Oryzias latipes: one gene and its partners. The protein of the gene in region 3 interacts with the protein of the main gene of each other region in a pairwise test. Links are inferred from orthologs where the notes say so. Each region holds a gene or a part of one and is shown on either strand. Other genes may lie near its edges. The genes, in order: ing3, snx7 and tex11.

Evidence for each region.
Region 1: the proteins of tex11 (region 3) and ing3 interact in a two-hybrid assay, tested with the Homo sapiens proteins (2 studies listed by BioGRID). The two-hybrid records come from large-scale screens. The link is inferred for Oryzias latipes from reciprocal best matches to the Homo sapiens genes TEX11 and ING3.
Region 2: the proteins of tex11 (region 3) and snx7 interact in binary tests that used the Homo sapiens proteins (3 or more experiments, as listed by UniProt). The two-hybrid records come from large-scale screens. The link is inferred for Oryzias latipes from reciprocal best matches to the Homo sapiens genes TEX11 and SNX7.

The regions. Positions count from the first base shown.
Region 1 is NC_019881.2:24,129,756-24,140,446, reverse strand, and holds ing3 (inhibitor of growth protein 3), read right to left. Parts: upstream 6,031-10,691; 5' UTR 5,939-6,030; coding exon 5,911-5,938; exon of another isoform or gene 5,854-5,910; coding exon of another isoform or gene 5,853-5,853; intron 5,770-5,852; coding exon 5,698-5,769; intron 4,749-5,697; coding exon 4,648-4,748; intron 4,571-4,647; coding exon 4,505-4,570; intron 4,247-4,504; coding exon 4,150-4,246; intron 4,083-4,149; coding exon 4,011-4,082; intron 3,925-4,010; coding exon 3,808-3,924; intron 3,725-3,807; coding exon 3,561-3,724; intron 3,478-3,560; coding exon 3,290-3,477; intron 3,225-3,289; coding exon 3,035-3,224; intron 2,959-3,034; coding exon 2,920-2,958; intron 2,846-2,919; coding exon 2,729-2,845; 3' UTR 2,290-2,728; downstream 1-2,289. Other genes in the region: uncharacterized protein LOC111946929, read left to right, coding at 1-34, 211-274, 339-768; uncharacterized protein LOC111946928, read left to right, coding at 10,018-10,607. UniProt on the Homo sapiens protein: Component of the NuA4 histone acetyltransferase (HAT) complex which is involved in transcriptional activation of select genes principally by acetylation of nucleosomal histones H4 and H2A.
Region 2 is NC_019878.2:924,515-934,975, reverse strand, and holds part of snx7 (sorting nexin-7), read right to left. Parts: intron 9,224-10,461; coding exon 9,038-9,223; intron 8,454-9,037; coding exon 8,343-8,453; intron 8,266-8,342; coding exon 8,107-8,265; intron 4,531-8,106; coding exon 4,332-4,530; intron 3,328-4,331; coding exon 3,128-3,327; intron 2,594-3,127; coding exon 2,507-2,593; intron 1,507-2,506; coding exon 1,354-1,506; intron 78-1,353; coding exon 12-77; 3' UTR 1-11. UniProt on the Homo sapiens protein: Involved in the regulation of endocytosis and in several stages of intracellular trafficking. Together with SNX4, involved in autophagosome assembly by regulating trafficking and recycling of phospholipid scramblase ATG9A.
Region 3 is NC_019868.2:11,384,204-11,394,894, forward strand, and holds the start of tex11 (testis-expressed protein 11), read right to left. Parts: upstream 6,048-10,691; 5' UTR 5,930-6,047; coding exon 5,887-5,929; intron 4,726-5,886; coding exon 4,613-4,725; intron 4,288-4,612; coding exon 4,203-4,287; intron 4,075-4,202; coding exon 3,995-4,074; intron 3,912-3,994; coding exon 3,831-3,911; intron 3,726-3,830; coding exon 3,606-3,725; intron 3,390-3,605; coding exon 3,309-3,389; intron 3,220-3,308; coding exon 3,134-3,219; intron 3,041-3,133; coding exon 2,983-3,040; intron 2,874-2,982; coding exon 2,778-2,873; intron 2,698-2,777; coding exon 2,616-2,697; intron 2,422-2,615; coding exon 2,343-2,421; intron 2,206-2,342; coding exon 2,054-2,205; intron 1,959-2,053; coding exon 1,873-1,958; intron 1,786-1,872; coding exon 1,648-1,785; intron 1-1,647. UniProt on the Homo sapiens protein: Regulator of crossing-over during meiosis. Involved in initiation and/or maintenance of chromosome synapsis and formation of crossovers.

The DNA of each region.
Region 1 (10,691 bases), on a different chromosome or scaffold from region 3:
AGACGTGGTGTTCTCCAGGTGTGGTGTTCTCAAGGTGTGATGTTCTCCAGACGCGATGTTCTCCAGAAGCGGTGTTCTCCAGATGTGGTGTTCTCCAGATGTGGTGTTCTCCAGACGCGATGTTCTCCAGACGCGATGTTCTCCAGACGTGGTGTTCTCCAGATGTGGTGTTCTCCAGACGTGGTGTTCTCCAGAAGCGGTGTTCTCCAGGTGTGATGTTCTCCAGACGCGATGTTCTCCAGACGTGGTGTTCTCCAGACGTGGTGTTCTCCAGGTGTGGTGTTCTCCAGTTGTGATGTTCTCCAGATGTGGTGTTCTCCAGACGCGATGTTCTCCAGTTGTGATGTTCTCCAGATGTGGTGTTCTCCAGACGCGATGTTCTCCAGACGTGGTGTTCTCCAGGTGTGGTGTTCTCAAGGTGTGATGTTCTCCAGACGCGATGTTCTCCAGAAGCGGTGTTCTCCAGATGTGGTGTTCTCCAGACGCGATGTTCTCCAGACGCGATGTTCTCCAGACGTGGTGTTCTCCAGATGTGGTGTTCTCCAGACGTGGTGTTCTCCAGAAGCGGTGTTCTCCAGGTGTGGTGTTCTCCAGAAGCGGTGTTCTCCAGGTGTGATGTTCTCCAGACGCGATGTTCTCCAGACGTGGTGTTCTCCAGACGTGGTGTTCTCCAGACGTGGGGCCTCATTTCTAAAGGTTGCGTACGCACAAAAGAAGGCGTACGCCACTCTCTACGCAATAGTTGAGATTTATAAAAAGCAAACTTGAGGGGAAAATGTGCGGTCCTTCACGCTCTGACCCAGGCGTACGCACAAAAACGGGTGAAATGAGAAACGGCGACACCGTCGGCAGATGGAAGAAACACGTGAAAATGAAAATGACAATACTGCCTCTCAGAAATAACATGAAGACTTCACAAAGCAAGTCTGACAATTAACAGCTACACCAACACCCGTTTGATCGATCAGCAGTGAAACAAACAAAACAAATCAAACGAAAATTACAACAGAAATTCAAATGAACACTTATTTCCAAAAAGAAAAGTGAAATATTTTCTGCAATATTGGCATGTTGTGCAATTCATCCTCATAAATAATATAGTTAACAGAACGAAATAATGTACAAAACTGATATTCTCGTCAATGTGTCTGTCTGGAGGAGCAGATATAGGTGCAGACAGACAGACAGATGGATAGATAGAGAGAGATGCACTAATTTTCCACTGGGGAAAGTTGTTTTCATAGTAAAACATTTCTTCATAAGCTACAGAATTATGGTATTCATGCATATGCCTTTAGTTTGTTTTATTTTTGATAAAACAATGTATGGCGTATGTCTCAACCATTCAGAAAGCAACAAGAAATTACATTTGTGCTGATCAATTTCCCATTTCCACGTGGATTATTACCGACATCTGTAGCTTGTCAGATGTAATTAAATAGAGGGAAATAAAATGCCCCATCACAATGCGTAATGACGCACAATGGCTGATCTGGCGCTCTTAGAAGATGTGGCAAATGGAAGAATTCGGAGTGAACGCATCTTTAGACAAGAAGACTTGCTGGCAAACGAGGACGAGTGGCTTATGAGCCGGTTCCCACTTCCTCCAGCCGTCCTCTTGGACCTCTGCGGGCTTTTGGGCAGAGGAGCACTCGGAGGAACTACGCGTGTCACCCGGTGCATCTGGCGCTCCGGTGCCCTCCTCCCGATGGAGCGCTAGAAGTTTATAAGCCTCGACTTTGATGTCCGACCATTTCTTTTTTATTTAACAATGGTCCGAGGTTGTGAGGCTACAGCATTTACGGCGTCTGCCGCCGTCTGCCGCTCACGTGGCTTTTTGGCATTAGTAATGCCCACACTGTGCCCTCCAAACAACACTTTTCTCCTCTTTTCCACCTCGCCAACGATAACTTCTACTTCACATTGAGTGAAATTACGTTTTTTTCATTTCCTCTCTGTGTTTGCCATGGTTCCGCAATCAATGAATATTAATTTGTGGGCGTTTCACGGACTATTTATGGGCAACTATGGGCGTGTCATGAAGCCGCAAAAGCTGCGCTGCATTTAGAATTGGTTGTGATTTATTAAGGGAAAGATGCGTAGGATGTGTGTGCGCACGGTTTTATAAATCCCAATATTTCTGTGCGTACGCACGTCCTATGTTTCATCCGTACGCCACTTCTGACGCAAATCCTACGCAAAGTTTTATAAATGAGGCCCCTGGTGTTCTCCAGACGTGGTGTTCTCCAGATGTCCGTCACTCACATGAGAACCTTCTGTCAAACAGACTGACCGTTTCAAACTTCCTCTTTATTGGACCGACTGCAAACACGCTAACTCACATGTGCACATTTACATCCTCCACCTGTGCAGGAGGAGCACAAACTGCAGCGCCACACCCCCACCCAGCTGAGGCTCCACCCCCCTGCCATGTCGATTCGGCAGAGGAACGCAGCATGATGGGAAACCTGTCTGTTTCCTGCAGTGTGGAGGAAACCCAGTCGGGTCATTTTTGTTTGATTTGTACACCAGAGCAGATCTGGAGAACCAGCTTCCAGAACGGAACCTGAACAGCTGAGGACCGGATGGGTTCTCTCGTCCCTGACCTCCACACAAAGGTCAGACGGCTTGATGAAAGCAAGAACAGTTCAGATCAAATAGATCATCTGCTTCAAGCTCTGATAGAACCTCAGGACCGGTTCTGCTGCAGTCCGCTAATCTCCTGTGTCTATTTGTGGCGGCTGCCCCTCCTCTTCATGGCGGCCGTGCACTGTGGACAGTACCACTTCCCTTTGGGCGCCTCGGTCAGGCCCACACAGCCATAGTGGAACCACTCGATGGGACACTGAGGAGGAAGAGGACATCCTTCAGAACCGCCTTTCAACCAGGTTCCAGAACCTCACCAAAGCTCATACTCACATCTGTGTTGTCACAGCCAACCATCTCCCCATAAGACACCTGGACGAGATCCAACAGGAAGCAGTTAACAGCGGAACCTACAGGAAGTGACCTCACAGCGCGGTAGCGGGCATACCTGGTTGCAGATGCAGTACCGGGGCTCGTTGGGGTCGTAGGTCCAGTCCACTTGGCTGTTAGCCTCAGCTTCCGGCAGCGCCGACGCCTGCTGAGAGAGCTCCTGAGCCAGTGCCGAGGAGGAGGAGCAGGAGGACAGGGAGGAGGAGGAGGAAGAGGAGGACTGGTGACTGGAAGACTTGATGTTGCTCCTGGAAAACAGGGACTAGAGGTCAGACGGGTCCGAGACACCTGCGGTGGGACGGGGGTAACTTACTTTGACTTCCGACCTCTGGAGTCAGAGGTGGTGCTGGGAGTGAGCGTCTGGGTGAGGGTGGAGGCCAGGGCGGAGGAGGAGTAGGAGCCGTCCCGGGACACGGAGAACTCTCGGCCCAGCTGGAAGTCGTTGTTCTTGATGGCCTCGTAGCTGGCTTTGAGGCTGGAGGTCCGGCGGCCTTCCTTCATCTGATGGGACGGAACAGACGGGGGATGGAGCGCCACCAGCGGGGCCGACATGCACGATTTTAGGATGGGGGTCGGGTTCTGACCTGGGCTGTGGCCTGTACGGCCTGCGCCGCCGCCAAGGTGATGGCGCCGGCGCCGGCCCCGGGTCCTGCGGGCAGAGCGCTCAGGTTGTAGGAAGCCAGGGGCTGAGAGGAGTTGAGGCTGTAGGCGCTGTTGGTGGATGCAGACATGCTGTTGGTGCGGCAACCTAGGGGGCAGGAGGGGGGGGGGGCAGTTAGCTGCGTGGAGGCTCCGCCCTCCAGCTGCATGGCTGTTATCTGCAGATGCTACCTGGCGTGTTCTCCTTGGACGGATCCGAGGTGAGTGTAGACAGCAGAGCCTCAGACTTGAACTTCTTCTCAGGAATGTGCTCCACCGTGTGGTGGGCGGGGGCGCTGCACTTCCTCTCTGTGGACAGAGGACACGGTGACACGTGAACCTGCTGCAGAGGTCCTGACATCACGAGGCGGAGCTGAGGGCGTGCAGCAGCTTACTCTCGGCTGTTATGTGCGAGTGCATGTGATGGTTGTTGACCGGCTGGGAGGGACTGTCCATCTCCAGTGACCCTGAGAAGAGCACAAGGTCACCGCTCTGCCTTTCAGCCCCAACGAGTCGCTCTGGAATCGAACTCACGTCTCTCCAGGATCTCTGTGATGCCGGCATTGTCTGCCTCCAGCTCCATTTTGAACTTGGCCAGCTCCTGGTCCAGTTTCCGCAGGTGCCGGTCCACCTGGAGGCAGAGGAGACAACAGGTCACATGAGCTTCTGGACGCGGTGCAGCAGGTAGACCCGGTCCAGCTGCTGCGGGGCGTCTGTTGGTGATGAGGGAGGAAAGCTCCTCCCCAGTGGTGTTAGGGACAGACAAAACTGTCAGGGAACTCCGTCCTGCTACGGTGGAACCTCCAGGCGATCCGGCAAACCCAGCTGGACCGTCACTGTGCAGGAGGTCAGAGACCATCCGGTCAGAGCGGCAGACGGTTCCACTCACCAGATCATAAATCTGATTGGCCAGCTGTACTTTCTCATCTGCGTCCTCCAGGGCCTTGTAATAATCCTGAAACACACCAGAAACAGAATCTAGATCTGACAGGTTCCTTCGGGTTCCTCCAGAACCAGCAGCAGATTCCAGACCTTCTTGATAACCTCCATTTGCTCCTCTCTCCACTCAGGTTTGTTCTTCTTTGCATTGATGAAGAAATCAATGACCCTCTGCTCCAGCTGGTCTGTGGCGTCTGAAACAAAGAGGCGGGAAAGAACTAAAGCACATGACATCAGCTTTCTGGTGCTGGTTCTGGATCAGACAGGAACCTAGAAGAACTCTCTTACTGTCTCCAAAGTTCTTCCACCTGCAACTGCATCAGAGGTCAGATCTGAGACTGGGGGGGGGGGGGTCAGTCCACCTAACTCTGACCCTCCAACAGCTAGGGGTCACAGATGACCCTGGAGGACTTTACAACTGAACTAGGGCTGCACGAGATGAGCAAAACTCGCCATTTCCAACATTACTGATGAATATTGCAATGACCATATAAGTTGTGATGCATATAGCAAACTATCTAAATAGATCATTTCCATTTCACTGCAACAGCTTCAATTAAATTTAAAGTGTACGTTAAATTACACTCCGAATGCCCCCCCCCCCCCCCCTACATCAAAGGGCTCCATCTGGTTGGTCAAATGCATTAATGGATTTATGTGATTCCTTAAATCCTTCAAGCTGCCATAAGATTGTTTGAGCACATTTAAAGTTACATTTATCACAGCTTGATATCAGGATAACGATAAATGAGTGACTGAATGTGCCTCAACTAACAAATACTGATGTGATAAAAGTTTGAACAGCAGCTGCGGTCATGACGTCAACATGAAAGGCGGCGGATAATGAAGGGATGTGCTTTGATCACCATGACCGCCTGACAAAAAGGGGAGGGGCTTCAGAATCTCAGCCACATATGCGTAAAGTGGCGCACGCAGCTCTACAAAACCTCACTTAGTGAATTATTAAACGAGCTGAAAGGTTGATAAGTTCCGTTGACGTGACTGAGGTGTCACCGGGTTCACGGACATGTCAGGTGTGTTAGCTCCGGTAATCTGGCCTTTTTTAACCGCTCGCTGGCGGTTCGAGTCTCCGTGCCGCGGCAGATGTCCCAGCCGAGCCCGGTGGTTGGCGGAAATACGTACTCTGCACCTGCAGGTCCATCTCCCGCATTTCCGTGAACCTATCGCGGAGGTCCATGGGAAGCTGCTCGATCACTGCCGGAAAAGGAAAAACACGTTAGCATCCGCTGCAGCTAGGCTAACGGAAATGCACGCGGCGGCCACACATAGACACACACTGTGCACACATAACGGGCCGAAGTCGGTACCGCCGCGACGCCCCGGTCCGGTACTCACTCTCAAGGTAATCTTCTAGGTACAGCATGGTGGCAAAGTTCGCGCTTTGGCCGTTTTAGGACAGAAACGGCTTCTTCCAATATGGCGCTGCCTCGCTGACAAAAACACTGGAAAAAAAATGAGGTCAGACTGCGCCTGCGTGACGTACGCGGCTTTCGGATTGGTTCAACAATGAGGGCGCGGTTTTTCCTGTTGTTAAAGGAAATGCATCATGGGAATAGTAGTTTAACTTGCATACTTTTGGACTTTGCACCAAATAAAGATGTTTTACTTAAGATTTTCGCTAATATTATAAACAGAAGGTGGGCTTGGCCTGAGATTATTTAGCTGCTGAGACCTTAAGCAACGGGTCTGTTTGTCTGTGATGAAAATATCAGGACAGAAACGCTGCTATAAACCAAAAATCACTTCATAAGGAAATCACCGATCTATGTTTTGCCTATCTGCACCTTTCTTTCCTTCCTTTCTTTTTAAATCTTTTTTTTTTCTTCCTTTTCTTTTAAAGTAAATTTTATGTTGATTATTTCTATGATGTATTGTGATTTTAATGCATTTTTCTGTTTTGTGAAGCACCTTGAATTACTTTGTGTACGAATTGTGCTATACAAATAAACTTGCCTTGCCTTGCCTTGGACATGATCTGCTTCCATGCCCTCACAAAGTTGAGCAAAACATCTGGAGTTCACAGCATTACTTTGAATGAAGTTGATGGTTTTCACAGTGACATCCATCACCTCATGGAACTCTGGAGACATTTTTTTTGCTGCAAGGTTTTCACGGTGGAGAAAACAATGGGTCCATTTAGCTTCTGGCGCAAGATCAAGTATCTGCTTGATGACACCGCGATGCCTGCCAGTCATTGACGCTGCGCCATCACAGCACACTCCAACACCGTTCTGCCAGTCAAGGCCATTCTCAGTGAAGTAGTTATCCATGCAGCGGAAACATTCCTCAGCTGTAGCTCGAGTTGGAAATTCTCCACAAAACAGAATGTCTTCTTGCAAAGAGCTATCCCACCGGTAGCGAACAAAAACCAACAGCAGCGCAGCATTTGTGACGTCAGTCGACTGGTCCAGCTGCAAAGAGAAAAAGGGGCTCTGTCTTATTCTCCCCAGAAGCTGCTGCTCAATGTCTGAGGCCCTGTCAGCAATATGGTGACTCACAATGTCATTCGACAGCGGGATGGTCTTGAGCTTCTTTGCTGCAGCCTCACCAATCATCTCACGGCACATGTCCACAGCGGCAGGCAGAACCAGTTCCTCCGCTATGGTGAACGCTTTCTTACTCTGCGCCACACGTCTGGCTACGAGGTAGCTGGCCTTTAACGCACACTTAGCGTCGCCAGTCAGTGACACGATGGACCCCCTCTGCATCTGAAGCCCATCATCCTTTCTTTTGAAATAATCCACTGGCTTTCCAATGAGCTTCGGATGTTTGGTTTCCAGATGGTGCTTTAATTTTGACGGTTTTAGTGCTTCATTGGATAATGTTAGCCCACACTCAACACACTGGGCTCTGCCTCACTGCCTCCGTTCACAAAGCCGAACTTTATAAAATCAGGGTTGTATTTTCGTATAAATTTCGCCTTTGAAGGGGGACTGGCATAACTTTGTACTTCATTTTTTCGTTTTAAAAACTTCTCCATGTATCTGCAACTGCTTTCTTCACTCTTGTAATCAGGATCTCCCATTTATTCTATAAAAAGTAGCATCAGAGAACAATTACCAGACTAAAATGTCAACGGCACTGTGCTGCCAGTCAGAGGACAGAAAATAAAAATCTTCGACAGTTTTAACACAAATAAAACGGACATTGTGCCATCAGTCTGCGGTAAGACACCAAGACAAGTTGGAGTCCAAGAAAGAACGTGGTCTTGCGGCTGTCCAAAGGCTCTTTTTTAAACTCTGTATTAGTCCCGATCTTACCTCTAGTCCAGCAACTGACAGAACGAGAGGGACGCAGGCCACCTGCAGTCGTGATTTAATTCAGGGTTGTTATAATATGTTTAAGTTACTCTTTCATTAACTTTTGACCAAAATAGATCGTTATACAGTTAACGTTATTAACAGAGAGAACATTAGTACGTCTTACTATCAATCGGATATCCTAGCGTTTGCCCGGGAAACTGCAGCAGCGCGAGACGTGGTGCGTCAGCAATCAGTGACGCTCGTGCCCCCCAAACACACACCCCACACCCACACACCCCACACCCACACACACACACACACACACACACACTAGGTAAGATGGGGCTTAAAAAATCCAGCCCGACCCCACCCGCGGGTATTAAAGCCCGACCCGGCCCGAGGCTGACCAATTAACTTATTTGGCCGAGGCTCCATTGGCGCATACCTCACTGTCACCAAGTGGTAGGAAGCGGCATTCTACGGAGTCCTATACTGTTCATAATTAAATAAATAAATATTTAATTAAATAAATAAATGTGACCTCATGCAAATACACAATCAACCAATAAATCTCTCATAAATATATAAAAAGATCATGAAATGGTGAAAAACCTGCACACAGATTTTAAATTAGCCATTGTATTATTCAATATATTTCATTTTGCTTTAAAAACCTGTTCATTATTTTAAAACAGCATTTTCAAATATTCATTTTTAATCATGTGGAATATTATTATAATTCTGTCTTTTTTCAGAATCTCGTATATCAAAATCAACATTTTCCAAAATAGCTTTGTTTTTAATTCATGTTGCTGTTTTTCACAATGGCTGATTTATTTAATGAAGAGCTTTTTCAGGAGAATGAGTCTGTCTGTCAGTGAAAGTGGGCGGGATCTAAACGCTCATTGGCTGATCCATGGAAATCGACTCATATTCCTCGATACCCGCACAGCGGTGTGCCAGTCAGAGAGATGACATGTTTTAGTGATATCTGCACGGCTTTGCTGACATTAGAGATCAAATAGAGTCAAACAATCTGTCTGCTGCAGCAAACATGGAAGACTCTGTTTTTGTAGTTTGAGGGTTTGTGTGGACCAAACCACAGAGGAGCTCCGGTCGTCCACGTCTACAAGTCCCCCGTTGCAACACTCCTCATTCTTACGCCATTCACTCAGAGCTCACATCATGCCTGATGTCGGCTGGCAGGAGGTGAGCTGGCGGACCGACAGACTCAGACCAGGCAGCTGCGCAAAGCGGGACAAGCCTGCTCAGCCCTCCTGAACCTTATGATATGTTTCTATTTTCATTGAGACAATGATTATAATCAGGTCCTCTGATTTTATTTTTCCCTCCCGGGGAAATGTTGAACCTTTCCTGCGATGACGTTTCTGACCGTGGTTGGAAAACGCAGCGGAGATTGAGCAATTCTGCAGCCAGGGCTTACTCCAAGAATCAGGTTCTGTACTTTGGAGGAAACAATTTTTTACTACTTTTCCGTGGAACTGGGCAACAGACCCTTAACTTGCGCTCACACATAAACTCTTGCGCTGCCTGGGCTCTCTGATTTACACGTAATATAAGACGTAGTTTGACTGCAGGAGCTGAAGCAGAGGCTCTCTGGGATGATCTCATGAACTCATGAAACATTATTATCATGTGGAACTATTCAAAATAAATAAACCTGATCTCTTAACACTCTCCATGTGCATTGTGCATCCATGCATTTTTACTGAGATAAGCACAGGCGACCGCTCCACGTGGCTATCAGGCTAAAAACATTAGCTGGGGGGGGTGACCAAGATGGCGCTCTGAACAGTCGTGTTTGGCTGAGCTCTGCAAACCTAACTGTTTTTTGTAATAATACACGGTGAGCAAAGACCCTTTCTTGATTTTTTTTTTACTTCTTTCCAATTTCTTTATACTTTTTGCATAGTTCTCAAAGCAATATGAGCAAAGCCGAGAAGAGAAAGATGGAACTCAAGAAATCGCTAGCGAGTGTTGGCTCTGTTAGCAAACCTGCTAACGTTAGCCATCCTGCAAAGCCGTCTGCGTCGAGTAAGACTACTGATGCTAAAGTCAAATTAATAGGCTATATGCACACGGAGGTTATGACGTACTTCCGCTAAAATCTCAGCCTGCTAAGCCATTTCCGCTCGCGCTGAGGCGATTGTTTACAAAGCGATATAACAGCAACTACAATATGACTAGTAAGAAAACGTTCAAATTTCAGCGAACAATCTATAGTACAGCCGAGCATTGCTGTGTGCCTCTGTGTCAAGCTTCGAGCAAGTACAACAGTTTACTTAGTTTTCATACATTTCCATCTGACGCGGAAATCAGGCGAAAATGGCTTGTAGCTATCCGGAGGGACAAATTCACAGTTACTCCCCATACCCGAGTATGTAGCCGACATTTTAACAAGGATGATGTTCGTGAGCCCTTATCAGAGACGGGGAGGCGGCTATTAAACAAGGGAGCTGTCCCAGCACTGTTTGAGTGGAACAATTTCACCCTTCCCACTTCACGACCGGGGGTGTGGGAGAGGAGAGAGCGTCCGCCTCCGATGACGGAGGATGACGGCGACGCAGGCGAGAAAGCTGATATCCCTATGGACCACGACTACGCTTCGGCTTCAGATCCTGCAGTTGTTGATTTAGCCCTTGATGACAACATGTCTCTCAGAGATGAGATTCTCAAGCTGAGGGAACACGTCGAGAAGCTGACAATGAATCAGCGCTTTGGAATTCATCGTTTTGCTGCCTCAGACAAGGACATACGTTTTTTCACAAGGTAAGATATCAGATTGTTCTGTAGTAACGTTACTTTTGCAACAACAGATATAGTTGTGTGTGTGTGAGAGAGAGAGGGAGAGAG
Region 2 (10,461 bases), on a different chromosome or scaffold from region 3:
GCAGCATCTCCTCAGTCCCTCTGACTGATGGACTCCCCCCTCTGAGACACCAGGAAGGACTCCCACACCGCCAGGCACTGAAACAGAGGAAGAGTCATTAGTGGAGGAAGGACTGAAACTGTCCAACCAAACTGGTGTCTCTGATAGTTGAGGGCAGAAGATCCCACTCTGACTGACAACCATCACCTGAATCCAGGTTCAGCACCACCAGCAATGTGACCTGCTGCATGTCAAAGGTCAGATCAGAGCAGACCCACAGACTGCTGGTGGTAGGTCCCCCCCCCCCCCCCCCCGAGGGACCCGTGCCCCCCCAGAGGGACCTGCCTCATGTCTTCATCTCCCCTCATTATCTGAGGAGCTGCAGACTTGACCAAGCAGATCCACATTCACTGCAGGAAGCAGTGATCTGGAGGAGGCAGCCACACCGTGCGAAAGGCCCCCCCTCCCTGCACGTCCATGAAAGGCTGTGGACTGGGGGGGTTGAGGCAGCTGAGGCAGAGCGAGCTCTGGAAGGAAGGGCGGGAAGACAGATCCGAGCAGGAGCGCTCAGACCCGGTTCCATCCTTCCAGTCCGGTGGCTGTGACCCATGTGGACCTAATCTGAAGCAGAACCTCCATCTGCACCGGATCAGAAGCCATGACGTCTGCTTGACATCAGATCGCCCCTGTTCATCCCTTCAGGGTCGCCATAGCCAATCAGATTTTCACGGGGGGTTTGGCAGAGATTCTTACGCCAGATGCCCTTCCTGACACAAAGCTGGATTTTCAGGGCACAGGAAGACCCGGACAGGGTCCCACTGCAACAGTATTCTAACACCTTTGTCAGAAAATGTAGACAAATAAACATCCAGTTACTTTTCAGCCTGACAGATTCGTTTCAGGTCACCTAAACCTTGGAGGTTTCCTAAAAGTTCCTGTTCCAGGTACCACTTTCTGCATCCTGTGGTTCTCACAGCTGTTGTACTGCTGCCCCCTGCTGGATGAAACCTGCAGACTCATTTCAACAGCAGGACCATGCAACCGGGATTCTGTGGTCTTCTATCCAGCATAGCGTGGCTTTCACCGTTTTGTGTTACATCTGCTAGAATTAGAATTGAAAGATTTGATCTCCCGGGGCTCTTTTAAAAAACTTTTAAAGGAACGTGAGACAAAGCTTTCAAACTGTAAATGCTTTATTTAAAACTGTCTTTTATGATTGAGTGTGAGTGTATATAAGGGTTGTGTGTTATTGTTGTGCTGCTGCCTCTTGGCCAGGACGCTCTTGCAAAAGAGATTTTTAATCTCAATGAGTGTTTTTATCCTGGTTAAATAAAGGTGAAAGAAAAAGAAAAAAGGAAGCCTTCATCAAGTCACCTTCTCGTAATACTCCACGTTCTTCTCTGCAGTAGAGGTGAAGGCCGCCTTCAGGTCCGTTCTCATGGCGTTCCTCCAGCGGCTCCAGTCCACATGTAAGGCGCTGTTGGACTTGTCCATGCGGTCTGCCAGCTCATCCACCTCGTCCTGCAGCTGGAAGCAGAGCAGACTTCCTGAGCGCACAGCCCCCTCCAAAACAAGTCTTCATGCATCCCTGCTCTGTTCCTGCCATCATCGTCCCTTTCTCTGGCTGTCAATCAAACACGAGGAGGTGCTTTGAGGATGAGGAGATTTCAGGAAGCAGAAAGACTGGGCTCCGAGTCTCTGCAACCTTAACAGTCAAAGAGCCGTTTGGATCAGTTTCCCACAGAAATGAGAACAAAAAAACTCAAAAAAAACGGCGTTTCCAGTGGACGCCATCATTTCCCTGGTTTGTAAAGTTTTCACTCGTTCTTCTCTTCTCATTCAACACGTACTGTCTGCAAAGACGGTCCTGGTCGGTTTGATGCCCTGGACGAAAATATCATTTACTTTATTATTAAACATAAGTAAAACAGACTTGTTTAGTTGAATTGACAATAAGGATATAGTGTGTAGTCATTTCACACGTGACGCATCAGATGGTGTTTTCTTTTTGAAGGCTGACTGGTTCTGGTAAAAATTGCCACATATTTCTGTTAATCTTTACTCCTCCAACAGTAAATTTGGGCGTATTTGGACCCCGCCTCCATTCCTTCATCCTTGGAGTGTTTGGTGTCGACTCGCAGTGTGGCGGGGGGCGTGGCATCACCATGGTGTCTCTCCATCGTGAGGTCAGTCACCCATCACGATGGAAGATGGTATCGTCCATCGGCACAACCCTAGCTAAAGAACAAACTGCTGCCCCCATGTGGGGGAGGAGCTAAAGCTAAGTGCACAGAAAGTCTGAATCTGATACAGTCTCTCCACAGGGAAAAACCCCTCAAACAGACAAAAACAAGAAACCTTTGGGGTCACGCTGAGGACTTTCCCCTCGTCTCTGAAGAATCTTTGAAAAACCCACAGCGCCACCTTCAGGGCGACACTGCCGGATTGTAGCCCCCCATCGATGGAGCCCCCTGCTTCACCTCACCAGCAGACGAGAGCTACACGAAGGAGACAAGGTCACACTTACCGCATCCAGATCACTTCTTCTGGACGCCAAGGCGTCGCTCTTCGCTTCAAACTCAGCCTGAATGTTGTCCCTCCTCCTCATCACGGCCTGAGCAAACACACAACAGTCGTTAAAACACGTCCCACATCCTGTCACACGTTTCTCTGTGTGAGACCCTGATCCACTCAAACCTTCTTTAAAACACTTTCCAGTGATTTTCCATTCTTTACTGACTAAATACAATAATAAATGATAAATAATTAATAAATTATCAAGTTAAGTTTTGATGGGGAAAAAAGTGTTTGGAATCAAAAGCACCAACTGCTGGTTCTATTCTAAGGCCAGCTCAGTGGCCTTGTGGTAGAGTGTCCGGCCTGTGACCGGAAGGTCAATGTTCAAATCCAGGCCAAAGACTCTAAAAATGGGATGCAATGCCTCCCTGGACACTCAGCATTAAGGGGTTGGATTGGGGGGGTTAATCCACCAAATGCTTCCTGAGCGCGGCTGTGTCTGTAGCTCACTGCTCCCCCAGGGGAGGGATCAAATGTGTGACAGCTAATGGTACTTTAACTATTCAAAACCTTAGAATTTACAGCCAGAAGTGTGTTTCTGCAGGGAATGCTGGGATGCGCGGCGGTGCACCTTCAGGGTTTCTGCACACAGGACGTATTCGTGCAGCGCTGGGACCAGGACCTCAGACAAGTGCTGGATCCGCTCCTCTGTTTCCTTACAGCACCGCTCCGCGCAGCTGGCCACGCCCTTCAGCGGCTCAGACAGGTTTTCCTCCGACCCCGCCCACTGGGCGTAGGTGGAGCTGTACTGCCTCAACTCATCCAGGTACTCTGGAAAACAAAACTCTTTAGAGGCGGACTGGAAGGCGGGATCGGTTCATTGGATTGGCCCTGACCCCCAAAGTGATCACTGCTGGAAAGTTCCACTCATTTCTGATCCAAGCCTCCTCTTGTGAGGCTGCAGCCACAAGCTTAGCTTCTGCCTGAAGGTTCGGACACACAGAACACAGTCTTTGACGGAGCCCACAACAAGCCAGAGTCATCTTTTCCACAGGAGGGGCTTTGGTTTCTGCTGCTTCTCTGTTCCACCCAGCAGGAAACACTGCAGCTGACCCACTTCAGAGCGGAAGAAGTCAGCCGATGTCCACCAGGAAATAATTGGTTGTAGCAGTTTTTATGTGAAAGACGAGTCTGGACACAGATAGGGGTGTGACGATGACCTCATCACCGCACGCTTTTCTTTTTAAAGTTCTGCATTTGGTGCGTGATTGGAACTATAAACACATTAAACACAGTCATCTTTGCTGATAGTTTCCTTTTTCTGATAGTCCCGTGCTCAAACTTCAAGGGTTTCTGGGGGAAACCTTTTATTACTGTTCTCCTTCACCTTCACCTTCCTCATGCGCTGCGTGCGCTCCCTCTTCTCCCTCTACTCACACACACGCGGGGTTTCAGCAGCACACACGCATCCTCATTCTACAACAGAAGTTTCTGTCTCGCGGGGAAATACGACAAATTTACTGCGTTCTAATGATTCATTTCTATTACAAGCTGTGTGCGTTCTTGAGTGCGCCGCCCGTTAACCACGCCCCATGCTGGATCATCACCGCGGTGATCAAAAGTCCCACACCGTCACAGCTCTAGACACATTAGTTTCTGTTGCCACGCACGGATTCACAGCTACCAAGGTAAAGAGGATGTTTTCACGTTAGTCTTGTCTTTCCAGGACAGCTGCTGCTTGAAGAACAAAGCCGTTAAAACCAATTCTCTGAAGATCTTCCTCATCCTTCAGACAAAACAACTGAAAACCCCAGAAATGGCTAGTCCTAACAAACCTCTCTGTTCCTTGATGATCCTTTGGGTGACTTTGTCCACAGAGGAGATCTTGCTGCTGAAGTTCTCCACGTAGTCCTGCAGGACCTCGAACTCCTCCGGTCTGTCCTTCACGCCGCGGACAGAGTTGGCCACGGCCCTCATCGTCTCCCCCATCCTGCTGAGGAAACCTGAACCCTGCTTCTTGTGTGGCGCCAGGTCCTGCAGGATCACAGCAGCAAAGCTCTTCATGTTGATTTTTGATTTGATTTGAAATGGTTTATTTCAAGCAATTAAGTACAATAATACACAACAGCAATATAATCATCAGTCATACATTCATACAGTAACTAATCAAACTTAGGATAATTAGACATATTAATAAATATTGCTTGAAAGGGAGTGGAAGGAAGCAAACTTATATAATCCCACCCCGTTATACTATAACCATTTTATTACATGATTTATCAATATCCGGTTCCTAGTTTTTATCAGACAGAATTAAAAATCATAAGATATCGATAAAGCACATGACAAAGATGAATTACTTAAGTATTACGTCAGTAATAACTATTTTAGAAATCAACAAATGCAGATCAGTCATCTGAAATATATGCAGATTATGTTACTTATAAAAGTCATTCATATGAATAAAACGTAATACTATATCAGTAAAGTAGACACAACACTGTTTCAGGAATTTTCATAGCAAAATTTCATCAAGTATCAAAAGTTAAAAACATGTGCAAAGTTATGCTACATTAGTAAAGATTTTTGAATCAATTTATCAATTTTTGGAGAAAGTGAAGTAATATCATTAAAAGTCAATCAATTTAACAATTTTCAATAAGTGATTAATCATTTGTTTTACTTTTTTTAATATTTTTTTTGTATTTTTATTATTATTTTTTTTTATATAATAAAGTAATGCTGTAAGGGGAAAGTAAAAAGGGTCTATAACTGTCGATTGTCCAAGGTTGTTAGATTGTTAGAGCTGGAGCTGAGCAAAAACCCGGTTTTCATTCCCTAACTTAAGAAGAACCCGTTCACAGCTCCAGAAGGTTAAGGTGAACCGCTGAGAAGGTTAACAGTGTGTGAAAGCACTGTGCACCGTGTCTACATGGATGTGGAAGTTCTTCATGTTTAATGCGTGATCGCCGCTCACAACAGAAGATCTGCTGCTGAACGTTCATGACTTTGACACACATTCATGCTTGAGGAATCTAGATTTGAGCGGCAGATACAAGTCAAAAACAGCATTAATGGAGAAGAGTTTGGAAGCCCGGGACAGTGAAGGGAAGAACAGCTGAGGACTGTTCCCAGGACACTTCACACACAGATCTGTACTCTGCCAGATGAAAAGATGGAGTAATGGGCAGCTTTAACAGCAGCAAACATGAACTGGCACTCCATCCACTCAGAACAGCAGCAGACCTGCATGGAAGCATGTTTTATGTCAATACTAAGAGGGGATAAGGCAGGGCTCCAGACTGCGACCAAATGGTCGCATTTTGCAACCAAAATTTGAGAGTGTGCGACTGAATTTTACATCCAGTCGCACATGTGCGACCAGTAAATTTGCCTCCCCCAGCCTCCGTATTTTTTTTCATTAAACATGGAAGGGGCACGTCAATGATCAATGAAATAATCAATGAGACACGAGCGCACACGCACGCAACCACACAAACTCGCACACATACTCATGAGACGCGAGCGCACACACTCGCAAACGCACAAACTCGCATACATACTCATGAAACACGAGCGCACACACACGCAACCACACAAACTCGCACACATCCTCAAGAGACGCGAGCGCACACACACGCACGCAAACGCACAAACTCGCATACATACTCATGAGACGCGAGCGCACACTCGCGTGATGCCTCTCTGTGAGGCGGCCACTGCGTGTGAGAAGAATAGGGAAAGTCACTGTAAGTGGCTAAATGCGTGGAGGGGGCGGGGCCTAGAGATAATCGAGCGCGCGTTGGAAGGAAACGGAGATAAAAATCATCACAACCTGCTATGTGCGTCTGAGCTATGAGTAAGTGAACTATTGATTCGTTCTTCCGACCTGCAGCCAGTGTACCAGTGCCAGAGTGTACAGCAGGGGTCTCAAACTCGTGAACCAAACCACGGTTCTCATGCACGGCTGTCACTGCAGCACACCGCTTCCACGGGAGTCGGGTCAGCTGAGGAGAATACATGCCCCACACCTACATGCGTGACAACTAACGGGGCTTGAACTTTAAACACGTGTGAGCGACAACACGATTTAGTCTTAGTCACATTTAAAACACGTGGGGAAAATGCAACGATAGACGTGTTTAAGATGAGCCAGCGCTGCGTCTGGATTGTTGGGGAGACCAAGGCGGGGGGGGGGGGGGGGTGGGGTGAAGGCGAAGCTGCAGCGAGACTTAAGGAAAACAGGAAGTTGTTGTCCTTAAAATTCAATTTAGTTTTAATATGCCTCTTCCCCTTAGTATGATCTGTGATTTTATATCTTTTATAATTATTTTATTTTTTTGTAATGTATGTAGCCAATTTTTAATCAGTTGGCATATTAATTTATTTTAATTGATCAATGAACTACAAAAGCCCATCAGGACACATGTCCCATAATGCATTGTTTTGTAGTCATCACGGCAACTTTCAGTCAGTTCAGTACTAAATTTCCAGCTGTGTTCGCGTAGGTTGGCGCTTTGCTCCCGCCCCTTTCTAGTGATATTTTTTGGTTTTGATTGACAGGTGATGTTGGAGCAAAAACAAAAATGTATGTCTCACACCAGGTGATCTGTGCAGCGTTGAGTCCACCTGGGTGATCTCGAACACGCTTATTGTGCATCTTGGCTGCACCTATTTGGTATCACCAAGATGAATTTCCATCTCCTAATGTTTACATACATTTAAGTATTGTTTGAAACTGTGAAATGACCGAAAGGTTACTACGGTAATCACTTTGTTACTAAAAACTTTTTTTATTATTCTAAATGTATGGTATTTTGTTTACTATTTGTACTGTCATGACAGTGATCCTTTTGTCAGTTTACCTCGTTGTTGCATCTTCAAAAGTGCAGAATAAAATGTGACACTGAATTAGAAACAGCACATTGTAATTTCTGCATCTATTATTAAAGTATTTATTAGTAATACAGTGGAAATTAGTAGATTTGGTTAGCATGTTGATTTATGGTATGCGCCCCTAAATTTTCTGGTTGTGCCCCTAAAATTTTCAGTTGGGGGCCACAGTGCTCCTAGTGAAAAAAGTTAGTCTGGAGCCCTGTAAGGTCAGACTGATCATGGAGTTCCTGCCTCCTCATCCACACAGCTGGAGGAGATTCGGTTCCTCCCCTCACAGGAGCGTAGCTTCTGGCTCTGGAGGAGTTACTAGAATGTAAAGTAGACCAGCTGATGTACAGGGGTTGAGCGGCCAACCTGCCTGCCCTTGCGTCTAAGTGTCCTTGGGCAAGACACTGAACCCCACATTGCTCCCTGTAGTCATAGGTTGGCGCCGGTGTTCGGCAGTGGCGCCGCGCCTTCAGTGTGTGAATGGGACAGTGACTATAAAGCACTTTGGGCTTTCTAAGAAGGTAGAAAAGCGGAAAAGCGCCATACAAGTGTACGTCATTCAGATCTGCAAAAGAATGTCTGAGTTAATAACACTTAGCATCAGGATAAAGCAAAGCAGCAGACAAAGACTTGCTTTGGTTTGTTAGTTGCAGCTCAAACTGCAAAGACTTTTGGGCCCAACGAGGACAGAATCAGAACCCTTCAATCAACAGGATGACGGGTTACCTGTGCAGTGAGGAAGACTTTGAAGTGCTGGCTGTGAGACAGGACAGGATGCTCTGAAATCCTGCTGAGAAAGCGCTGCAGAGCTTTTCTCCGGGTCTCAATGAAGTCGTCGTTGAAGCGCTCCACCATGCCTTTCATCACAAACTTCTCTGGGAGGGGCTGCAGGACATCAGCCCTCTGTCACACCCGAATACCCTCAGACACACCCTTCTCCCCCCGCTCAGAGTCATACATACGTGGACGATGAGGGTGGGGTGACTCTCTTCCAGCTTGCTCCGCAGCCACAGGAAGTCCTGGTAGCGTCGGCGGACCTCAAACTCACTGGAGTCAAAGTCGCTCCGTGTGGTCTGAGAAAACAACGAATGGTTCTTGCATGAGAGCGCGGCACACGCTTCCCCACACGCCCTGACGGCCGGAGGAAGCGCTACAGGACGTCCTTCCATCTTTGTTCAGACAAGCTGCTACATCAATGAAAACATCTGAACAGGTGGAGTCTGTGCTCATTACAAACTCCATTTACTCCCTCCAGACTGAGCACAAGCCCACGGGGAGAAAACTTTTCATTTTTGAACAGTTGACTGGAAGAGAAAGACTTTGACTTATTAGGTTCTTCTGTTATCAGACACGGTTGTGTTTTGCCACATACCTGACAATCGCAGACATTTGTGAAAAAACACAACCGTGTCTTCACGAGAACAAAGAATACTGAGGGCGAGTGGACTGAGGCCCGACCACACGTGTGTTGGAGGGGATTTGGACTTTAGCCATGTTTCCTTATAGGCCTTCCCAACCGCTGAACCCATGTAGGGAAGTTCCACCGTATTTTGACCCGTCACATTTTCCTTTTGTTTTGTTATTACAAACAGTGTTCAGACAACCAGACACTTAAAATGGTCAAATGTGGGAATGTGTCAGATGGTCCGCTCCTCACCTTGGTCACTACTCTGTACATGATGTAGGTCTCGATGGCAGTGATGTGGCTCTCCGGGTCGTCAACAGAGATGAAGAGGTCTTTAGCGTTGGCATCTTGCTGCTCTTCATCATCCTCCAGCCTGTACTGGTTGACCATGGAGCTGGGGGAGTTGGGCACTGGACCTTCATCTGTTAGGCATGTGTTCTGGGGGAGAAATGCCACACTCTTAATTCCACTTCCTGCCTCTGCAGCTCCAGTTCAGCACTAGCTGACCTCACAACCTTTCTCCATCAGCTGATTTGCTGAGGTCCCATAAAGAGAGCCAACTGTGTTTCTGAAAGGCAGTGCTTGTTATGGAAGGACACCACCAGCAGGATTAAAGTCAGGGCTCCAGACTGCGAGCAATTGGTCGCATTTTGCGACCAAAATTTGAGAGTGTGCGACTGAATTTTACATCCAGTCGCACATGTGCGACCAGTAAATTTGCCTCCCCCACCCTCCGTATTTTTTTATACATCAAACGTGGAAGGGGCACGTCAATGATCACTGAAATAATCAATGAGACGCGAGCGCACACGCACGCAGGCTGACACACACACTCGCGCACATACTCATTAAACGCGAGCACACTCTCGCGTGATACCTGTCTGTGAGGCGGCCACTGCGTGTGAGAAGAATAGGGAAAGCCACTGTGAGTGGCTAAAATGCGTGGAGGGGGAGGGGCCTATAGATAATCGAGCGCGCGTAAACATCTGTGGGAAGGAAACAGAGACAAATATCACAACCTGATATGTGCGTCTGAGCTATGGGTAAGCGAACTATTGATTCTTTCTTCCGACCTGCGGCTAGTGTACCAGTGCCAGAGTGTACAGCAGGGGTCTCAAACTCGCGGCCCGCAGGCTATTTGCGGCCCCCAAGATGATATTTTGCGGCCCCCGCCTTAATATGAAGGTTTAATGTTACTGCAGCCCGCCAGTTTGTATCAATGACACTTTTTCATTGTCGTGGGCGAAGCTGACCAACCAATCACAGTGGGGTATATGACTCTTGGGGGGCGTGACAATGACCGGGCTTGAAAGCAGGACACCTGACAGCCCCCTCCCTCCCCGGACCACATTAAGGAGTTCCTTACTTTCCTTTAGAACGTATTTATTTGCTCGTAATTTTCTACATACATGCAGTCCGTGCTGAATTTTTCTCTGGGTCACACAGACCCGGAGGAAGGTTTAGGTTTTGGTTACGGTTACGGCGGCGCATCAAACGGGTTACGGCAGCACACCGCTCCCGTCCTGCGGGAGTCGGGTCAGCTGAGGAGAATAAATGTCCCACACCTACATGCGTGACAGCTAACGGGGCTTGAACTTTAAACACGCTCGAGCAAAAACAACATTAGTTTTAGACACACTGAAAATACGTGGGGAAAATGCAACGATAGACGTGTT
Region 3 (10,691 bases):
AATTTCAATGAAGACATTGACACCAGTCAAGTGATCCTGATTGTAGATGGACAACAGGCTCAACAGACTTTCAGACCATATTTGTCCTATAATGCCTTTCAATAGAATGAGAGCTCAGAATGTTAACCATCTCCAAATCCACAAAATGCATGACACTATTTGCTTAACCCTTGTGCTATCCTAGGCACTGTTTTATTTTGTGCTCAAATATAATTTAAGCTGTGTGAAAGTCAAACTGTTCAATTTGATTTGATCTAATGGACAACTTTTTGTTTTCTTTGTTCACTACTGGAGGATATAGATGACATTCTTCCAGTGCTTTGCTTCAAATAAACAAAGGATAATTTATCTACACTTTGGTTTGTGTGCCATTTTTTTGACTTCAATGTAACCCTTGTGCTATCCTAGGCACTTTAACATTGGGAGTGGGGTCATCTAGACCCACTAGACAGTGCTCTGAACCTTTTTTCTTCAATGATTTGTGATCTTCACTGGTGTCCATGGATTACATGAAATCTTTCCACCTTTATCCACCTTTGTCATGGTAGGGAGAACACGTCAAAGTAAGGGGGGGGTCATCTAAGATAGCACAAGGGTTACACAAAATCTACAGCAGGGTGCTCACTTTTTTGGCATGTCAGCCACTTTTGAGTCAAAAATGTCTTGAAGATCTATCTATATCTATATATACTATTAGTACATGTTTGTTAGTTACATGTTTATTTGTACATTGTTGTTTATGGACTGATAATAAAAAACACCACACTAAGATTACACAGAAAAATTTTTGTATTAACAGATGAGGCGTTTTATTACAAAAACACAAAGCAGCGACTATCGTACGTCATTCTCTGTTGTAAACTATGTAATGCGGAGAGCATGGCATTGCAAAGGCGCTGCTGGCTCTGTACGAAGCGCGTGCCACGGAAAACACTGCTTCCTTACTGAGCTCGTATTTATCGGGCGGGAACTGAGGAGCCGATAGCAGGAGGACACAGGGTGGCCCGGGCTTCAATGAACACTCCAGTTGTCCGGAGTGGTCTTCTGCAGGGGAGTTGACGTGCCGCGGGTAATGAGGCAGACAGAATTTGCGCTCAGTTAATTTAAACACGCATGTGCAGTGACGTATATTTCGTAGGATGTCCGATTGGCCGTTCTGCATGTCAATCAAGTCCCGTACTTCTTAGTTTTTGATTGGCTGATGGATTTTTTAGAAATACATATTTATTTTTTGGGTTATTTGTCTTTGCTGGCCTGCGATCTATCCTCATGTCTTTTGAGGTCATGGTGATGCTGGAGCCTGTCCTGGCTACTGTTGGATGAGGACGGAGTACATCCTGTTGTTCTGTTGCAGGGCCACACAGTTGTGATGCACAATTAACCTGAGGGAGGAAGCTGGAGGGTCTGGAGAAAATCCATACATGCATGGGGAAAGCATGCAAGCTCCACACAGAAAGGTCCTAGTTGGAATTTGAACCAGGGCCTAATTGCTGTGAGGCGAAAGCGCTAACCACTGCACCACGGTGCCACCTGCACTAATAGCTATGGAGGGAAAAGGTTCATTTGAATTTGGACAAGCAACACCTACTGGAGTCTTCGGGAGAGAGGTTTGATCACAGATTTTTCCTTCTGTCCAGACAGTCTCACCTTTTCCAACTGCTTCAGTTTTAGAAAGCAAGATGCTCTGTTCCTCTGCAGTTTGGATAAGTTCTGGTCCATCTGACCCGCCTTAAAGAAGCTAAGAGAGTAGTCATACCACTGGAGAGCTTCAGAATAATTGTCATCCTGTAAAAATCAAAAAGATTAAATAAATTGACTTCTAAAGTCAGTAACAGTCAAAATGATAGAGGGAAAACCAGGCTACTGATGAACCTCGTAGTGTTTGGATGCCTGATCCCACAGTATGATGTGCAGACTTGTGAGTGCCTCTGGTGCCAGCTGTTTACCGGTATAGTGTCCTGATCAGAAAGGAAAATCATCAAAAAAACAAACATTTCATGGATTACTACTCTAAAAAAAGCTGTAAGAAACGTTAAGGGTAGAAGTGAAGTACCGGTAATGACATCCTCTATCTTCTGTCTGCTCAGCAGCACCTTGCCTCTTTGCAGCAGCAGCTCAATGTGCAAGACAAGAGCAGTTCCCAGACTAGGAGATGACTCGAAGTGCTGACACACAGTTTTCAAATACTCAAATGCCAGCACTTCTCTAGAATAATCACAAAAGATGCATTTTCAGAGGTGCAGAATAAATGTCCTCATCCGTTTAGGATGCATTATTATTTCAAACAAGCAAATAAAGTTAAATCTGCAATCAGTTTTCTGTTTTGTTTTTAACTTCCTCACCTGTTTTCAGACATGAGCAGTCTCACTGTGTTCAGACACATGTCAAGAGAAACTTTAGATTCCAGCATCTCATTAAGACCTGAAAACACAGGTTTGTGATGCAACCTTATCTGTCTGTCACTCAAAGATTCAAATGACACACTAGGAAGCATCCAATCTAAGTGGTACAAGCTTTGTGACCACCAATATCAGACTCATTATTTCTTTCTATTCTATTTCTATTTGTGTTTATTTTTGTAGCACATCACTGACGGCAGTCAGATTATGACTGACCTGCTCTGACAGGGCTGTCTGGGGCTCTGCATCTGAGGAGAATTCTGATCTTTAAGTAAAGTCCAAACGGGGTCACACACTCCTGCCAAACACCACCATAGGAATAATCACTCTTCATCCTTTTACAATAAATATTTGACGTAATATTGCCTCACGTCCCACCTTGTTTGCTAAGCTGACAGTATTTAGAGCCTTTTCCTGAAACTTCTCACAGTCCCACTCTAAATAACACGTGGCGAGCAGCCGCAAAACTTTGGCCTGTTTATGAGTGACATTGTAAATATTTTCTTTTTCTTTTTAATGACTTGTTCTCAAAGATTAGCATTCCTGCTGCTAACTCTATTCATTCTGTCTTACGGGGTCTTACCAGAGCTTCTGATCCTGGACCATATTTCATGTTTGCTTTTCCAATGTCATAGCTTTGGCTACAAAAACAAACAAGGAGGAAGAGATGCATTTTTACCCTGGATTTTTTTATTTTATTACTTTTTATCAAACCACATTAATAAATCTACTACCTCAGCCAAAATGCACTGTCTTCAAACTTTGTCAGATTGTATGCCTCGATTCCAAAGTTGTAACAGACAACTGAGAGGTACGCCGTCTGTGATGAAAGCTCACACTTAACACCCCCCTCACTTTCAACAACATGTGCTTTGAATGTAAGAGAACAGTAAGGTAGCTGTGTTTTACTTCATTTGGCAGCCGCAGCAGTATGTCTTTGCATCGCTCGATGAACACTATGGCTTCTTGGTTGTTCCCTTGAGCGATAGCCTGTAACAAAGATCAGATTGTGTATTAAATGAAGGGAAATGAACTTCTCTCAATTAGCTATTTCAGAACCCCCCCTTCATTGTTTCTCAGTCACAATTTTACTGTCTTACACTTCACACTGCAAGTCTGTCAGAACAGCACCTCCCAAGCTGCAAAATATCACAAGAACAAATATTCACATTTAAGGTGTTGAACATCACATGCAGCACTGCTCACCGACTCAGCCTGGCACGACAGGATCCGAAGAAGGTCCTTCTCCACATCTGCCTTGGATGACAAGATGTCAGGTTCGTCATTGGCTCTGGACGTTAGCTGGCGGTAAAGGGTTTCCAAGCTCTAGGAATATACCATGTTGGATCATTTGTAAAAGAATAAAATAATTCCATCCTTCTCCTTTCAGCTAAAAACATTTCCAGATTTTATCCAACGTTTCTTTCTCACCTTGACGGCAAGTCTCAGAAAGTGATCTGCCATCTGAAAGTTTTTGCAGTTCAGCCAGGCTCTCCCTGCTTTGCTGGCCATCTGGAAGGATAAGATATCAACACACAGGCCTTATCCTCCTGAAATGCCAGGCTATAAAAAGGAAAACCTCCAGAATTACTTACCAAGATTTGTTTTCGAAAGGCGCCCTCTGTTGGACTGTCAGACTCAAAGCAGTACAGCAGGTTGCATGCAACATGGCGAACTGATGATGATAAAAAATATTAAATGAGGCATTAACCTTGCCTGTAATCCCCATAATTAGGTTTGTGTTTTAGAAAATCAAGAAAGGTAAACATTTAAAAACTATACAGACTGCAATTGGAAGAATACCTTTAGCTTTTTGGATTGCAGTTATGGCGTTTCCCACATTCTTGGTAACAGCCCAGTTCCACAACTGGACGGCACACTCCTGAATCTGTACCAGTAAAACAAGACACTAAAAACATGCCAATAACTTATATTATTAGACTTAAGCATTCAGTTTTACTACTAAAACTACTAAAAAGTAGTTAAGCTATAAAATAATTTCGAAGTTGCAGGTTCAAGATATGTTGGGATAGGGGGAAAAAATGTTTAGCTCCACATGAACATATAAAGTCAGAATTCTGAGATTAAAGTCAGAATTTTCTATGCCCTTTTTTTTTTTCTTTCTCCATGGCCCTAATCCTCTTCTGTACATATCTGTCCAGGACTATAGACTATATTAAAAATAGTACAATCTAAAACGATTGATAAATTACCTGAGGATCTGGTATTTTGAGAAAGGAATCTAAGCCTGAGACTTCAGAGAAAAGCTTCTCTATAACCTCATCGCAATCTGTTAGATCTTTCTGCTGTAAGTTTTCTGTGAGACCTGTGAAAAAGCAGAACGTTTGAAATGAATAGACACACTAAGAGTAAAAGATGTTCAATAAATATATGTGACACATCCAATAACTGCTCCCCTTGACAGTAACTTCTAGTTTGCCATAGCAGAAAAGGGTTCTGGCATATGCTTGTTCTCTTATGCTTTTAAGATCTGTGAGGCGGCAAGTTGTTGTATATGAAGCTGATGCAAATTACACCCTCCACACTTTTAAAAGTGGGTGTTAAAAAGAATTCTGTGAGTGAAGTTCACAGTCAAAGCATAATGGTAACTGTTATGTACACTTCTAAGTTATTTTTGTTGCTGCAAAGCCTCAAATCACACTTTTTTTAATAACTAGAGACATTTGTTTTTAGTTTGTTCTATTTTTGTTTTTTTCAAATCAAGCTGGACAGTGAAAAAAATTACTTGCCCTTTTTTCTTAACAATTTCCAAAATATTGATTTCTGCCAAATGTTCTTTATCGTATTTATCCAGGATTGAGCAAAAAAAAATAATATATATATATATATATATATATATATATTATATACACACACATATATATGCATAAATGTGTGGGTAACAGAAACAGACCCTCCAGCCCCCTGAGGCATAATGCTCCCGTTTTAAAGAGTAAAATGATAATTTTGTTAACCAATTCAAAATAATAAACTTTATTTATACCCTAAAAGTCTTGCCAGCCATTGTTCCACAACAAAAATAAAACCAAGCATGTCTGTCTGTCATAAAAACAGCTTCAAGATTCTCTTCGTTAACTTTAAAATTGCTCTCATGATTTCTGTATAGATTTTTCTCTGAATAAACCCAACATTTATATAATATTATTTATGGCAGTCTGCATGTTTTTTTAAGGTAGTTTTAAAGAAAGAAAAAATATAATTAATTTGTTTAAAAAATAAAGCAAACATTTTTTTCACTCGGACAAAGGCTAAAGCTAAGGTAGGATTTATGTGCTTAATTCATTTCATTAAACTAGCTTGACAAAATAGTACATGGCCTAGCAGATGGTTTAGCTAGGTTAGCCCCAGTTATATCGCGATATAACTCATTGATTACCCCCTACCCCTGCTGATGACGCAGTTACAATTATTTATGGTTTGTATCTGTAATTAGCCGTGTAATGTAGTTGAACCGACTTATACTCACATTTCACAGTCGAAATAAATTCTTCCATTTCGAAAGCTTCCATAAGCGGGATTGTCTGGAGGAGATGTCTCACCAAAGGAGAATTTACAATCGCCCGAAAATGCCCGCGAAAACGAGGCGGACGTTGACGCCACGGAGTTCGTACTATGTGAGGTCAGTTAATGCTACTTCCTGTCTGCGGACAAACTTTAACATTAAAAGAGCCTTTTGGGCAAGTTTCTGTGACCATTGACTGTAAATGCGGACCAAAATCCATTTAGAGCCGCAAAAGCTCACTTTATCAATTAGAAAATAGAATTTATTTATGTAGTTTTCAAATATTTACAGTAATTTAACTATAACAGTGTTATGTTTTTCTGCATTTATTAATTGTAACTTTATTTACTTTTGACAAGATCCTTTCAAAATAAAACACACCCTGTGTCAAATAGGATCCTTTGCTACAGGAGATTTACTTAAATTTAAAAAGATAGAAAGATAAATCCAATATAACATTTTCTATTATTATGATTTTGGTGGGCCTTCATTTTTTTTCCTTTTACTCTCAAATATTAAACCAGGCAAAACAAATCTATATAATGTAAATATAAACTTCTACAAATGTTCCTCCATGCACTTCCTAGGCGTTTCTTCTCTTTAACCACACACAATAGATTAAACCTTTTACTGTCATGATGCTCAGTTACCTGACATTTTAAAAATCTAAAAATAAATGACAAAACGTAATTAACTCAAAATAATCCTGACTACGACAAAACCATTATTTACGCAAATTATTAGAATTTTTTCAAAGCCAAAAAGCCATAATGTAGGGACAAAGAGCCACATTTGGATTTGGAGCCTCAGATTCAGACTCCTGATTTAGGCCTATTGACTACTAGGCTATATGTTAAAAGGGTTTAAAAAAGGATATGTTATTATTACTATTTTTCTTTTTTGATGTTATGTGCTAGTTCAATTGATAAATAAAATCTATGTTACAAGAAAGCAAATATCAGGTAAGATATACAAGGTAGAAAAAAGTAGCCATCATAGTGTAGGTAATATTTGCTTTCTTATATTCTGGCTAGATGATTAATTTTTTATATATAAGTATTCTTAAATTAGCGTTTAATGTAAATAAATAACAAAATAAATACAATGTAAGAAATAACATGGAAGGGCTTTTATTTTGATAGTTTTTTCTTTCCACTCAAAGACAAAAACTCATACACAAACACACCCATACACAAAAAAAATAATCAAGAAAATAATGTTTAAGACCAGCATGAACTGAAGGTTCAAACGTTTGCCGTTGTGTTGCAATCCAGAGATACTCAGGAAAAAATTAAAACAGTCTTTGGGACCACTTGCTCAAAAACATTGATGATTAAGCCATTTCTGAAGCTTTGACACTTTATTGAGAGCAAATCTCCTCAAACAAGGAAAACACAAGAACAGTTGTGATCCATCTCCAGAGTGGCCTGTTGAACAAATTACCACAAGAGTGCAGTAACTTATTCAAGAGATGTCAAAAGACCCTGCTATCTTTGAGTAAATAATCTAAGGACTGATTAGATTAAAGTCAATCTTTTCTAAAAAATACATTTGTCTACAACATTTGGTGTAAAAGTAACACAGCACGTGAGAAAACAAACATGTTACAGTGGTGAACCAGGAAGACTTGCTGTGGAACCACAGCTTCCAGTGTCTACCAACAAATCCTGAAGAGAAATGTTCTCCATCTGTTTGACTTTAATCTGAAGCACACTGGCTGATCCACCTTTTAATGCCTTAAAAAGGACAAAAAAGTCTTGCAGGAAGAAAATAGAAATATGGTCTTAAACACACTGAGGTTCAATTAACTAAAACTGAAAAGGAATGTTATTGAAAACTGATGTGACACAGAGGTCAGGACCGAAAGGCAAAACGTCTCGAAAACTAGCAGCTAAAAATAGTTTTCTTACTTGATGTTCCTTTGGAGATAAAGTGAGGAGTTTGGTCACTTGTGTGGAGCTTGGGGTAGAGTCACTTCCCTTCCACACTGAGAGAAACTAGTTGAGATGGCTCAGTTAACTCATTTGCCTCCTGGGCGCCTCTCTAGGTATTCAGAGCGTGTCCCACCGAGTTGAAGACTGTGTCTCTCGGCTGGCCTGGGAGCACCTTGGGGTTCCCCTGGCAGAACTGGAGGACGTCTTTGTGATGAAATAGAAGCTGAAAAAGTGAACCGACATGGGTTTTTAAAACACAAAACTGGATTTTTGTGAAATTAGTTAAAAACAGAACATAGCATTGAACATAAAGCATGAAATAATCCACAAGGAAACAAAAAAGCAGAACCTTAAAGACTCACTTTGATGAAATACCTGTTTTTGGTGTTTTTAACATGTTCTTGTGGCATTTCTTTCAAGATGTAAGACATACATAAAGAAAATAAACTTAAAACTGCATTTCTGAGTATTTCTTTGTTTTAATCATTGTGAATCAGGAGCAAACGAAAAAAGTGTAATTGTAAAAAGCTCATAGTTGTCACTTAGTTACAATCAGAGGGCAACAAGCTCCCTGCTCCACTCCATTCTGATGCATCTATTTGCAGACAAAAAGATCCCTTAATTTAAATACAATGAAATATGTGATGTTGGTGGACTTTTCTTGTGTCTAATATACATTTTTTGTCTTCTTAAGTAACAAGAACTTGAATGTGTTTTATTGTATGTTTTACTATATAAATATGCTAACTTTGAACATAAATGGGCGTGCCCTGTGGTTAATATGCTGAATAAATAAAATTTAAATTAATGTCTTTTTTTTCCGCGTGTGAGCTGGTATCTGAATCAAAACTGTACGGCTGGATAGCTCCAATATTCCGTGCCATTTTTGTTGCACTGGTAATGTTAGGTTGGGGGTGTGAGCTATATGCTAGCGGGAGGGTACGTAAACAGATGGGCGATAGGAAGTGGGGGCCTTGCTCTGTGCCAACAGTCCCGCCCACAAATCAGAGGCAAATTTCTGATGAGCTGCCGTTTTACTGAAACTATGTTTTTGAAAACAACAGTTTTTTTGTTTTGGCTAAAAACAGCATAATCATACTTGAAAGACCCCTGGGAACGCTTTTACAATAGATCAAAAGATGTTCGGAGTGGGACTTTATTTCCAATTCAATTTCCCCATTGTGGGATAAATAAATAAAAAGTAAATTAAATTTAAGGCATATATTGTCATGTCAGGACTCAAAACACAACCATCAATATTTTTACACCATTGTGACAGGGTTTCATAAAATTATCAGAAGTTTAAAAGAATATTCATGGTTTTTAATGGTGATCAATATAAAAGGCATATAGTGTTCAACCATTTTTTTAGACCCTCTAATATTATACATCTTATATTTAGAATGTGTTTCATGCAAATGTGAAATACTTACTAATGTTAATATTTTTGCATGCATGCTTTTTAGTAGGGGTGTGTATTGGGAAGAGTATGGCGATACGATGCATATCACGATACGTGTCTCACAATACGATATGTATCGCGATACATATCAAGTGTCACTCGTTTTCATCTAGAGCCCACCACAAATCACCACAAACCATGTTTTTACATGATACCGGCAGCAACATGGCACATGTTAGTTCCGGTTCGGAACCCATCCCAAGCAAAAATTAAGTAGTACATGTCTCATAACAACAGAGACTGCAAGGCTGACTGAACATTTAACATGTAACCCTTGAGCTATCCTAGGCACTTTAACATTGGGAGTTGGGTCATCTAGACCCACTGGACAGTGCACTGAACCTTTTTTCTTCAACGATTTGTGATCTTCACTGGTGTCCATGGATTACATGAAATCCTCTCCACCTTTATCCACCTTTGTCATGTTAAGGAGAACACGTCAATGTAAGGGTGGGGTCAGAGGATAGCACAAGGGTTAACACAAGCTGATTCTCGCGAGATCTTGTTGTTTCGGTGCGGTGTAGAGCTACTCTGAGAGGATCAGTGTGCTATGCTGCCAACTAGAGGTCGGGGGTTTGAGTGGAGAAAAAAGTTAGACGTTGAATGATGCTCATAAAAAATTAAATAAATATTATCTTGGCATGATTTTAAATCAATAAAAGTATCATCAAATGAAATGTCGCAACATATTGACAGATCGATTTTTCCTACAACCCCAGTTTTTATAATTTACATCCTTTCACACCCATCTTGAAAATCGCAATTTTTTATTTATCAGGTAAGAATTTCTTTAGATTACAATTTGGGGCTGTACTACAATTATGGCATTATTTCAGTTTTATTATTTTGATTTACTACAAGGTTTTGATTTAAAAAGAAAACTGTGACACTCATTTAACTCAATGCCCTTTTTTAAAATAAGAAGTTTGGGTTCATTCAGGCCAAAAGGAAGAATGCTTGCTGTGTATGTAGGACCAGTTAGTGCTCCAAAGTGTGTTTTGACCATCAGCCTTTAAAATAAATCACTTCAGATCCACCCGCTCAGCAAGCAGCTTCCAGCAATTGTCCATCAGGAGACTTATCTGCTGCCCTCACGACCTGATGGGAATGTCTCCTTTGCTCAAGCCCTAATTATAAACACATGCTAAAACTTTTGGAGTGAGCATGATCACCTTTTCTGACCAAACTCAGTTCATTGTGCCATTGGTTTTTTTTGTGTGTGTGTGTGTGTTTTTATCTTTACAGTTTATGATAATGCATTAAGTTACAGTTGTTAACTCCAGAAACTATAAGTGAGAGGGAAGACTTGAGTCACTGAACCTCAACAGTATTGTTAAATCTAAAACTACTAAATGTGTGATACATCTTTTTTT